Linked DNA regions of Caenorhabditis elegans. The protein of the gene in region 2 interacts with the protein of the main gene of each other region in a pairwise test. Each region holds a gene or a part of one and is shown on either strand. Other genes may lie near its edges.

The links.
Region 1: the proteins of T23F2.5 (region 2) and scrm-2 interact in a two-hybrid assay, tested with the Caenorhabditis elegans proteins (one large-scale study listed by BioGRID).
Region 3: the proteins of T23F2.5 (region 2) and F07A11.1 interact in a two-hybrid assay, tested with the Caenorhabditis elegans proteins (one large-scale study listed by BioGRID).

The regions. Positions count from the first base shown.
Region 1 is NC_003279.8:13,233,582-13,237,254, reverse strand, and holds scrm-2 (Phospholipid scramblase), read right to left. Parts: upstream 1,908-3,673; 5' UTR 1,889-1,907; coding exon 1,526-1,888; intron 1,362-1,525; coding exon 1,119-1,361; intron 1,076-1,118; coding exon 973-1,075; intron 929-972; coding exon 870-928; intron 815-869; coding exon 785-814; 3' UTR 592-784; downstream 1-591. Other genes in the region: ZK1053.2 (uncharacterized protein), read right to left, coding at 2,595-2,804, 2,855-3,108, 3,665-3,673.
Region 2 is NC_003284.9:5,516,167-5,519,052, forward strand, and holds T23F2.5 (UPF0057 membrane protein T23F2.5), read right to left. Parts: upstream 998-2,886; 5' UTR 975-997; coding exon 921-974; intron 871-920; coding exon 751-870; 3' UTR 542-750; downstream 1-541.
Region 3 is NC_003280.10:11,587,838-11,593,759, reverse strand, and holds F07A11.1 (uncharacterized protein), read left to right. Parts: upstream 1-1,636; 5' UTR 1,637-1,699; coding exon 1,700-1,772; intron 1,773-2,268; coding exon 2,269-2,346; intron 2,347-2,392; coding exon 2,393-2,539; intron 2,540-2,817; coding exon 2,818-3,092; intron 3,093-3,154; coding exon 3,155-3,352; intron 3,353-3,423; coding exon 3,424-3,519; intron 3,520-3,576; coding exon 3,577-3,758; intron 3,759-3,882; exon of another isoform or gene 3,883-4,032; intron 4,033-4,409; coding exon 4,410-4,628; intron 4,629-4,775; coding exon 4,776-5,059; intron 5,060-5,111; coding exon 5,112-5,236; 3' UTR 5,237-5,326; downstream 5,327-5,922. Other genes in the region: gfat-1 (glutamine--fructose-6-phosphate transaminase (isomerizing)), read left to right, coding at 19-861, 907-1,110, 1,164-1,208; ints-7 (Integrator complex subunit 7), read right to left, coding at 5,371-5,574, 5,618-5,698, 5,746-5,904.

The DNA.
Region 1 (3,673 bases), on a different chromosome or scaffold from region 2:
ATGTATATATTTTTTTGTGAAAAACTGAACGATAAACGTTTTACTTCCTTTAATAAATTTTTTGAATATAAAATGGCCAAAATTAATCTTTTATTTGGAAAATCTTGGGCTCACTAGCAGTGCAAAAAAAGAAACTTACTTGTTAGAACTGCCTAACAACAGTGATTCGTTTTGTGAATAAATAGGATCTTCCGAAGACATTTTCTTATATTTTAACAAAAGATAAACTTATCAAAAAGGGTTGAAAAATGAATATAGTTCGTTTTGAAAGAATTGGGTTCGGCAGCAGGCTTGCTTCGTAGACATGCAACAAGGAAGTATTCGTGAAAATCTAAGAAGTTGAAAAAGTTGTAATCTTTAAAAAACGTAACTGTGATCTTTATTGCCTCTCGTCTCGTAAATCACGGAATTGAAGAGATGTGCATGGCAGTAGAGCATGTCGGTGGTAACGATACAGGTGAAAAGTAGGCCAAATTTGTATTTATCAGTTTACCGAAAGATTTTTAATCAAAAGATTTCTAGATTTTTAATATCGGAGTTTTCTCCGTTATATATTCAATCGTTCTTGCTTTACGCTTATTGGAAGTGCGATATAATTATAATTATTTTATTTCATTTTGAAGATGTTGAAGAAAAGAAGCAAAGCGATGCAAACGGCGCGTTTGCAAAATGTCTTATTTTAATATACATGCATACAAAGAAAGCACATTATCATTTCATAATTAGAGCTCTGATCGCAGAAAACAAGCGAGAAGTGCATTGCGAGATTTCCAGTTTTTCCACATCAGTTATTATTTTCGAACTCCACGAAATCCTGAAAATAGAGTAATAGTTAAATTAAATTTTGGATAAGAAGCACAAAAACTCACAATCAAAAATGTGGCTCCCAGCAGTATCGCTTTGAGCTTGACATCAAGGTCGATGGGAACTGAAATTCTTTCAACTATTCTTTCACTTTCAAGACTAACTCACAGGTGACTGCAAAAGTGTCGGCATCGGTAAACGCTTCACGCAATAGTCCACCCCACTTCTTGGTTATTGAGCCAATTGGCACGGAGCTGTCGGGAGTTTTGATCTGAAAAGTATGGAGTATTTTAAATTCGGCAAAGTCTTGTCACCGTAAAATCCTTATCTTCACAGCAGCAACTTGTGCAACATCCTTGACCATCAACTAGGAAAATCAGATTTCCATCTTTATCCAAAATGTTATAGAATGAATTCGTGCAACCATATCCTTGAAGGACAGTACCCAGAAGGCCAGTTGATAGTGATTCAATGGTGCATATGTTTTGAAGACCTAGCAAGCATCCACAAAATGAGTCTGCGCAGCATCTTAATTCTCGTTTGACGATGAGCACATTCTTAACAAAACAAATGTTTTAAAAACTTAATTTAAAAGAATTTTCAAGAAACTTTAGGAATGTTTTCCTATTATTACACATCCCATGAAATAATCAGGAGTTAAAAAGTGATAAGAACTCAAGCTTCATGGCTTAGAAATCTGCATCTCTAGGCCATAACTCACCTTGTTAAAATTATCCACAATGTGCATCGTAAAACCTCGTTGCGATCCACAACACTGTCTCTCCCAAGCGTTGGATTCTTCGAACGCATAGTAACACTGCTGTCCATTTTTATTTCTAATAGCATACTTATTTTTACTCTCCCATCCAGTAAGAATCTCAAGAACCTCCTTCACTTGATGCACCATGACCGTGTCCAAGTAGGCAAGGTATTCCAACCCTGCTGGGATTCCCTCAATCGCTGGAAGTGCTTCCATCCAAATTGCTCCGGGAGCTGCTTGTATAGAAGCTCCTGGTTCAGTTGTTATGGCTCGGTCTTCAATTTCAACGTAATCAGGTGGTCCATTATAAAATAGTTGATCCATTATTTCGAATCTGAAACTTATAAAAAACGGGTTGCTGATTGTTTGAAATTGCGCTTAACTAAGCAAAGATTGGTCCGAATTCTTAAATTTCATTTTGTTACAAAATTGGTGCTCAAAAATAGAAAAAATAGATAAAAGAGTTTACTGACTACTCAATAATTTTACTCGGCTCATCGAGCTCTAAAACTGATAAAAATAGAGGTAAAAAAAATTTCGTCGAAATAAACACTTAAAAACGCATATTGATATTTTATAACTCATAAATCCGTGGGGTTTTCTTCAAACACTACAGAAATTACAGTAAAAACTATTGCTTTAGATCGAAAAAAATTGCTGAACAGTTGAAACCGGAAAACTGGTCAAAAGTAGGAAACATTCGTTGTTTTTATTGATGCTCAAAAAACATGAAACAGAGAAAAAGCGGGTTCAGAAAGTGGGACCAGCGAATGTGTTCGGAAAGTGAGAGGCGCATAGACGAAGAGGGAAGCTAGACACACATACTTTGAAAACAGCACAAGGTTCAGGGTACTCGTGTACTAAAAATTGAGAGAATTTTTTCAATTTATAACATTTTCATACGAGAATTCATTTGCAATTACCTAGAAGCTACCAGGGGTCACCACATTTCTCTTGGGAATTATCGAAAATTTATTCCTGAGTCATCAACTAACATTCCATTTAATTCCCTCATAAACTTTATTCATTTTCAGTCAAAATGTAAGTCAGCAGTTCTCTTCGTCTTAACATATCCTCCATGTCTTGGCTTATGATCCACATCATCATCGAGCCTCTCCTCGAACTCTGAAACTTCTACAGGAGCGACATGGGTAGCTGCAACCGGTTGCTTCACACTCTCCAATTCGGATTTAGTTTCGTTAGTGGAAACAGAAGCGGGGGTGTACTTGGATGGTTTGATCTGCAATTTAAAAATTGGAAAAAAAATCAATAACTGTTTTTGTAACTCACATTTTTCCACTCCTTATCAAACTCATCACTTTCCACAGAAACCGATGGTTTAGCTCTACGAGAACTGTGCTCCGTCTCGTGTCCTTTCTCCAAAAGTGCCAACATAGCTTCACGTTCCTCTTCAGCTTTACTGATCATCTTGTGTTTTCGTTGCTTGGCACACACGTACATCCAAATAAGACACAGGGCAATACAGAAGCACCAAATGAGAAGGACAAGGAGTAGGATGTAGATAAGGATGTTCGCATCGATTCCTGTAAGAAAATTGGTAACGGTATAGCTGGCAACAGTGCTGACGAGTTAACTTATAGTTAGTGTAGATACTTTCTCCAGAATGTTGTCAGCTTTCTGGCGCAGTATTTTAGATAGGTATGTGCTAGGGCTTCCATGAAGTCGCCGCAACGGCGCATCCGCTGGCCTCAGCGGTCACCGCGCCGGCCTCACGGCGTCACTCAAGCCGCATGTATCCGAATGTATAGTGAACCCCGACAGTGTCGGCTGCTTCAAATAACTGCCTTTTTGCATTTGAATATATTTTGAATACACATTCGAATACACAGCGGTATCAGCGTGAGGCCCGCATTTCGCGCCTCACTCAGCTGGGATTCCTAGTCTGTCCAATCATTCTTTGGTCGCAGGCGGCGCAAACCCACTAGGCCTTTATCAATTAATCTCAAATTACCAAATTTCAAACGCGCACTACGTGAAAGCTGGTGGAGTTTGCCGAGCAGGTCGCAATTAGGTCTGATCTGCTCAGTGTGCCTTAGATCGACGAGGCGTGATCGCCTACTCCTCGTGCCAAATTCTAACCTTCCTGGG
Region 2 (2,886 bases):
CAAAGATCTAAAAATTCCCGGTGCTTGATCGCAATGTGTCCACCGTGCTTATCGAGCCAAGATGCACATATCGCGAATTAATTATGACTGGAACAACACCTGTAATATCCCAGTTCCTCGCCATCTCTCTGCAATTCTCTGCTTTGCTCCAAATTTTTAGAAATCCTGATCTGTTACATTTATCACATTTTTGTAAAATGCAAACATCTTATTGTGACTATGAAACCCGCATTTTAAAAATGTATTAATTCTCGCAAGACTTTAAATTCTCAACTTAAAAAAAAAGACTTTTTCTTTTTTGAATAAAGTTAACTATTGTTTTTTTCCTTATCAGTTGCTCGATATTAGTCTACCTCCCACCTTAACTGTGCGGTAGCATCATGTTTCAAATTGTCACATTGTTCACGAGGTAAAAAACATCACGTCACTATTTTCCCGTCGCTCTCACCTTCTGTCAACATTAGTAAATAGATTTTTTTCGTTCCAAATGTAATGTTACGGTTCATTTCTTTTTTCTCATATTCAATTCAGTGACTCAGTGTTACTTGTTCGTACCTTTATTCGTTTACAGAGAAGGAAATGGATGAAATTCAGTTCAACATAAAGGTAACTAAATCACGAGAAATTGAAACCAATATTATGAGATGATGGGGAGATTTTTTGAGAGGAAAAGAGCATTTGATTGAAAAAAAGAATACGATCCGAATTGCTGATGATGGCGTCATGATTGTGAAGCTTTGCATGATAAGCTTAGTAGGCGAGGATGACGTAGCAAGCGTGGATGATTCCGGGAATATATCCGAGGATGGTGAGAAGAATGTTGATGGCCAAGTGGTAAGTGCATCCCTTCTCGAGCCAGACTCCGATTGGCTGAAAATAAGTTGTTTAATTTGATTTTTTTTGAAAGATTTGAAACTTACTGGAAGAAGCAGAGCGCAGAGGAACTTTGGAATGTCGGTGCAAGTGAGAGCCATAGTTGCAATAGTTGAGAGTTCTGAAAATGCAATGTAAGTAAAAAGCCAACGAAAAGCAAAAACGTAAGTGAATAAACGAGAAGATGGGTTTAAAGCATTATCGACAAAAAGACAAGGATGTATATTTCAGCAAAAAATGAAAAAGCTGTTCTCTATCATGTTTTATACGTTGGAAAGTTGAGTCACCTATAGAAACTTCAGGGGAAATGTTTTTATGTTTTTTTCTTGGGTGCACTGAAAAAATGTTATATTTCATAATACTAAGCTGCGAAAGTCTGTTTTTTTCCGCATAACTGAAACAGCTGAAACGTCATGCTTCAGAGTATTAGCTAAAATCAGTATGCTCAATTTCTTAAAACGCAAAACTTGAAATTTTGGCAACAAAAAGTACATATCATTAGTTTATTTTTAATTATTATTTTCAGTTAAACATCATTATTGTTTGTATTGTTGTGACAAGGATGAATCAGAAAACCATTTTTTCAAAGTCAGAATTTTGCAATTGTTTGTCAAAAGGAGTGCCAACATGTTTGCCTATGAAACTTGCTACCAATGGAGTCTACAATACTACTAATATTACATGTTTTGAGAAAAAGGGTTTTCTGAGCAAACAAACGTTCAATCAAAAACAGTTTTGCACATCTCATTTCTATATAAAATTCACAACTGGCAATCAAAATGAGATACGAATAAAAACAGCGTAACGCTTTATGATAAAAATCCATGGCAACCGGGATTAGTGACTTCTCAGGCCTGTCTAGTGAGGAGACGGAGAGGAATAGTCGAATTTGCCATTTGGTTTTGAAATGATTGGGGTTTGAGAGAATAGCGAACGAAACGGCAGATTTCTTGTTTACAACGCAAAAGAGGGGGTGCTTGACATTGAAAATTTGACCTTCTTGCCGTTTTGCAGCGGGTTTTCAAAAAAATCTAAGAAAGGGAAAGATATTTTTTGACATAATAAGAGTCAAACCGAAAAGTCACCTGATACGTGATTAACAAGCTTTCCGAGCGGAAGAAAATTTATTTTGGGAGCTGAGAAACTGAAGTTTAGACTTACAATATTATGAAATAGCTAGCGCGGTGGAAACAGACTTAATCAGAATATAGAAATTGATTTCGTCTTTCTGCCTCGCTAAACAATTTGAAAAGGAGATTTAAACTATTGCAACTAGATTAAGCACTAAAGGAAATTGAAAACCAGAGCGTTGCAATGTGAAGTGTCAGAAAAACTGCATAAGACCAAACAAAACTAGAAAATGGAGTACATCTGTCACTTGCATACTAATGAGAAATGTAGAAAACAAAAAAGTGGCGGATCAGCAGGTGCAAAGGGCAACTGAATGAGGAATGCGCGTTCGCTTTTATAGTGCCTCAGAGACCGAGCAGGGGGGGGGGGGGCACACACAACGTAGGTCATTTTGGCGGGCATCGTGTGGTCCCCCGCCTGTATCCAAAGATCAAATGTTTTTTGAAAGTAATCCTGTGGGAAACCGCAAGAGAGAGGGAAGAGGGGGATGAGAGAGGGAGAGATACTTGTTGTTGTCTCTTCACCCAAATGGTGCACATCTTTGTGGTGCGTTGAGGGGAATCTGATCATCTCTAAGACATCAAAGATTGAATAAAAAAAACATTCACTTTCGAAAATTGTTGCTGAGGAGAAGACAAGGAAAGAACACTGGAATGACGTACAGTTAGTCATATTAAACGGTTCCGGAAAACATTTAAAAGTGCTTTGGAATTTATTTGTTTAGGTAATTTTTGTAGTTATTTGTGTAGTTACTGTTGTCCACTATTTTTTTGCTTTTCTATGATTCACCAGAGACGTTACAAGCAAAGCATTTCGGCTCATTTGTAGACTTCCGAAAGAACTCTATATCAGTTGTGTCATTTCAAAGAAGATTCTTTAAAT
Region 3 (5,922 bases), on a different chromosome or scaffold from region 2:
TAAAAACATATTTTTCAGGGATCTTTCAAAACGTACATGCAGAAGGAGATTTTCGAGCAACCGGATTCGGTAGTCAACACAATGCGTGGACGTGTTCTTCCATCGGGACAAGTCGTTCTAGGAGGAATCAAAGAGTACCTTCCTGATATCAAGCGTTGCCGCCGTCTGATTATGGTAGCCTGTGGAACATCCTATCACTCTGCCATCGCATGCCGTCAGATCCTTGAAGAACTTTCTGAGCTGCCAGTCGTCGTCGAACTTGCTTCTGACTTCTTGGATCGTGAAACCCCAATCTTCCGTGATGATGTATGTCTCTTCATTTCTCAAAGTGGAGAGACTGCCGATACGTTGTTGGCTCTCAGATACTGCAAGCCACGTGGAGCTCTCACAATTGGAGTCACCAACACTGTCGGATCATCCATTTGCCGTGAATCTCATTGCGGAATTCACATCAACGCCGGACCGGAAATTGGAGTCGCCTCTACCAAGGCCTACACTTCTCAGATCCTATCCTTGCTTATGTTTGCTCTCACCCTCTCCGATGACCGAATCTCCATGGCTAAGAGACGTGAAGAGATCATTGACGCTCTCAACGATCTTCCAGAACTTATCCGCGAAGTTCTCCAACTCGACGAGAAAGTTCTTGATATCGCCAAACAAATCTACAAGGAGAAATCACTTCTCATCATGGGAAGAGGATTGAACTTTGCCACATGCCTCGAAGGAGCTCTCAAGATCAAGGAGCTTTCCTACATGCATTGCGAAGGAATCATGTCTGGAGAACTGAAGCACGGTCCACTTGCCATGGTCGATGAGTTCCTCAGCATCTGCATGGTTGTTTGTAACGATCGCGTATACAAGGTAAGAATGAGCTGAATTGTTTTTTGATTGAAATCATTTTTTCAGAAATCGTTGAATGCACTTCAACAAGTCGTTGCTCGCAAAGGAGCTCCAATCATCATTGCCGACTGCACCGTTCCAGAAGGCGATCTCGCTGGAATGAAGCATATTCTTCGTGTACCAAAAACTGTTGATTGTGTCCAAAACATTCTCACAGTCATTCCACTCCAGCTACTCTCATATCACATTGCTGAGCTCAATGGAGCTAATGTAAGTTTACAATCGTCTTAATCTTGAAATGTACACGTATAATCTATTTTCAGGTCGACCGACCCCGCAACTTGGCCAAGTCAGTTACCGTCGAGTAAAGCGTCCCGTCTTCTGCCCAAACCACCCCAAGTGCCTTCTCACCATCTCGTCTTTTCTCCCACTCTGTGATTATATTTCCCTCACCAATTGCCTTCCCTAATTTATTGCATGTAATCTGGTATACCCAGCGATTCGACCAATAAAATGTGGTTTCCGGTATGCAGTGCATACTATGCACTTGTTGAGCATTGAGAAAACTGGGAACACCTCTAGTATGCTGGGATCGAAGAAGTTTCAACTTTTCATAAGCAAAATTCAAACTTGTAGGCTGAGTAAAAGTAAATATAAATAAAACTGAATGTTTACCTCTTTTCCGGTGCAGATCTGCTTTTCGTAGATACCTACGGAAGTTTAGTTGGTGCAGTGAAGTGTGCACTAATTCTGAATCTCGGAGGGAGCTCACCCGCCAACAAGTCATTATATTAGTTTAGCGTTTTTCAATTTTCTAGGACACCTCCTATTTATATAAATACTATTATAATTATTGCGGATGCGGTACGGAAAAGTCTACTTTTATGATCGTATGGGAAATCGAGAGCCGAGTGAAGCTGATAAGATAAGAGGTTTGAATCATGTGAAGTGAATATAGATAGAAATTATGTTTCTGGGTCCTGGAACAAACAAAAGAAATGGTGTTATTTTCTTGAAAAGACGTGTGCGCCTTTAAGCGGAGTACGGTAGTTGTTTCCTCTAATTTTCTTAATTGATTGCTCCCTTTTTGATATTGACCAAAAAATTTCAAAATACAAATAAACCAACAGCAAAAAACCTATAAAAATAGAAGAAAGTTGCGAAATCGATTTTTTAAACTACCGTAATCAGTTAAAGGCGCACACCCCCCCCCTCCGGCATTGGTTTTAGATTAGAAAAAAACATTTTTTGCGGAATTGGAATTTCTTAATTACAAAACTTATTTGTCTATATTAAATCAACAAATATGTGAAATTTGAAACACTACTATATCTGCGATCGTGGCGGGACCCATTTGGAAAAGCAGCGTGGGCCTTTAAAATTAAATGTCGAATCTTTTACGAAACTATAATTAAACGATGAATTCAGAAGCACTGGATAACTTTGAAGCTCCACGATTCCGTCCACCAGATGAGCCGAGAATGATGAAGAATTATACAACACAATGTAGAATTAAGAAAATCAGATTTCACAACAAATAATTAATTTTCAGTTTCACCTTTAGACACACCACCACCAATGAATGGAACCCCACCAATTGCCGGGATGCATCATTATTTGACAGATCCGGATCCCAGTCGAGAAATGATGGATCTTCCGGCGAATATCTCGAATTTTGGAAGAGATGATGCGAGTTTAGGTGAGATTACTGTAGGTTTCTTCATCAGGGTTACTGTAGGTTTCTTCATAATGCGGAAATTGTGTGCCTTTAAGAGTACTGTAATTTCAAAGTTTTCATAGTTTTTCTTACGATTTATTAAAAGTTTATGTGTTTTCATTGTAACTTATAAGTTTTCCTTTTTTAACATTTTTTAATTCGACTAGCAAATCTCCGATTTGCCAGGTTAGCAACAAATCTCAATATTTCAAAAAAAAAAAGATTAATATTTTCTCCTGTATTTTTTCTAGCATTTCCAGTTCTTCCCGCCAATCTTATGGGTGGTGCTGACACTTCCTTACCCAACATTGATCGTTATAAAATGGATCTTCCATCGGAAATCTATCCGAACGATCCAATGCCACGTGGAATATCTACACCTCCAATGAACATGAAATTCAATTTGGGAGAGAATATTGGGAGAGACGTGGATAGAGGTGTAATGAATGGATTCGGAGCAGAGCGACAATATCAGGATCCTATGATTGAGATTGAACAAAACCTGGGGAATATTCGATTCGAAAGTGGTAATGAGGTACGATTACCAAATTTGCCAACGACGAGAAGTTCACTAAAAAACCAAAAATTTGTTTTCAGAAAATCAAAGCAACAATTACAAAATTTGATGAAGACTATTACGGTAATGAAATCTGTGCTCAGTGTCAAGCCGAGGATGCATATATGGATCGAATGAGACGTCAAGCAGAAGAGGAACGGAGAAAATATGAAGAAACTATGAAGAGAGCAAAGATGTATGAAGATTTGACAAGGGAAAAGGAAGAAACTTTTAAAAGGGTTAGTTATGACCTATTGTGGGAGTTATTTTCAATAATTAATTTCTCTACAATAAATTTTTTTAATTTCAGGAAGAAGCGGAACGGAATAAAGCTCTTCGAGATCATGTCGATCGTGTGAATGCTGAAATGATTGAGATGAAAAAGAGAAGACCTAAATCCCCAGTAGTACGCAATCTGTTCACTTTAATGTTCTTTCTCAGAGTCAGTTGTATATATTTTCAGCTGGAAAACTATATATTCCGACACGAATCTCCTAGAAGTCGAGATGTTGAAGTGCGTACACGGAAGGATGCATACCGAGCAGAACTCGATAGACAAGTCGAAGAGAAACGATTGAGACGGATTGCCGAATTTGAGAAAAATGAGGCGATTGATGCGACGAGCAATGCGAGAGCCGCGCTGGAGTAAGTTGTTTACTTTTGTTTTTAGTATTTTGATCCAAGATTCATACAGAGAAATCTAAAATTTAATGTCGCACACAAATTTCAAAAACCGTTTTGTTTTGAAAGCGGCAAGAACTGAAAAGGCACTAGGTAGGCTTCTTCCTCTAGACCACCTTCATGCCTAGTTCAAGCCTTATATGCCTATCCCACGCCTACCTCATTTGTAGAACATGCCTACCTTGCCTAAGTGTTCTCTAAGACCGGTCCCTCACAATGCTCCTGCCAAATGTTTATCTCATGCCTACCTGATTGCCTACCTCTTGCCTAGTTGTTGCCTATCTCACGCCGGCTACAGTGATTGTCGAATTCAAACCTACATATTCCATATCTATATATATATATTTCATATCTATCCTACCCATTCCATTTCTCACGCCTGCCTACGAGCCTGCCTATAGGCCTCATGTCTATCTGCCTTTGTGCTTATCACATGCGTATATTTTGCCTGCCTATATGCCTAGTTTATCCCTATTCCATGGTTTTTGCCAACTGGCCTGGCGGCCTACCTCATGCCTGCCTACACGCGAACCTCATTCTTACCTCAATCTTATCGCACTCATAGGCTATGCCTGTTCAAGTGCCTACGCCTACCTACGCCTATAATGTTTTCAGATTTGCGAATGCTCGAGAAGCGGAACGAAAATCCATTGAACATGCTAAAGAAATGGCTCGAAAACAGTTGGAATTCCAAATGGAAATGAGCAGAGTCGGTGCTCCGTCGGATAAAAATTGGTTGTGGTGGGCTGAGAGACCAGATGAACATGGATGGAGAGATGCTCGATTGAAGGGGTTAAAACATACAAATCAAGTTGAAAGGAATCAGACTTTCAAGTTCGTTTTCTTTTTCACGCAGAACGGTTTTTGCTACGTGGCCTAGAGAAAAGGAAAAACTCGGCCACTGATTTGACCGAGGCTTCTTATTTCACGGCCACGAAGTAAAACCGCGCTGCGAATGATCCAAAAATAAGATTTTTTCAGACAATCAATTGGAATGCTGGAAGAATTTAAAGCTCGTCAAGCTCATGATGATATGGTGATGAGAGATAATCGAAGAGCAAAATATGATAAATTGAGAGATCAGTTGCATGAAAATTCGAAAATGTTGTACCCATTGACCAAAACTGAAAGCCGTCCGATAATTGTTCAACCGGATCCTAGAGTTGAAGCTGCCTGGCGAGAAGCTCATGAGAAATACGATCGAAAGTTTGCAGTTTTACAGGATAACGCTATGAAGAGCATTTCTGGAGCAGCATTAGATGGAGGTATTGTTTGAATTCAAATTTAATTTCATTAGATGAATCTGAAACTTTTCAGTTGCCCATGCTACCACCTCCTGTCGTCGTTGTGCTCGGTGTGCTCGGCCCATGGAACGGAAGACCACCCTGTTTGTTAATCGTGGTGAGACAATTTTACCTCATCAAGCTAATTGGCACTCTTAATTTCATTAAAGTTTCAACAATTTCTAGTTATTTTTAAAATCGAAATAAATATTATTTTTGTGTCGATTTAAATAAAAAAAGAAGGAAAAATGGTTCAAATTCAAAATTATTCACGATATGCTCTATTTCTCTGCTCACGCCTCAGCATGAAACAACGATCCTTTCGGAAAGTGCCTCCTGGGATCCGGTGGAAATTGATGTCCGACTCGTTTCAGCTCGAATCCGACCGATGAATATTTCTCGCGAACTGTGAAGTGAAGTGTCGTCACATTATACGCTTTCCACTGCTTTCGTGATGTTTGATCAATGAATTCGATTCGGAATTTGACGTCGCATGCCTGAAAATTAAAATTTTTTTTTTGATTTGGTGGTTATTTTTACAGTTTTAAAATTGAGCAGGAATTGCGCCGTGAAGTAGTTGTTCTCGCTCGGCTCAACTAACTCTTGCAGAATTTGATTTTGCTGAAAATTATAAAATTTATGGACTTTTCGTTGAGAAAGGCTTATACCGCATGATTTGCCAGATGTGTGATTTCCGCAAAAACAATGATGGATCGAATTGGCGATGGATGTGTTGATGTGATGGCTCCATCTACACGGACAGGGATTGTCTCACCACTGAATACGTTTATTGTCTTGTCCTTTCCAGCTTCTGGTGATGTTGAAATCTGAAAAATTTTGGTGGA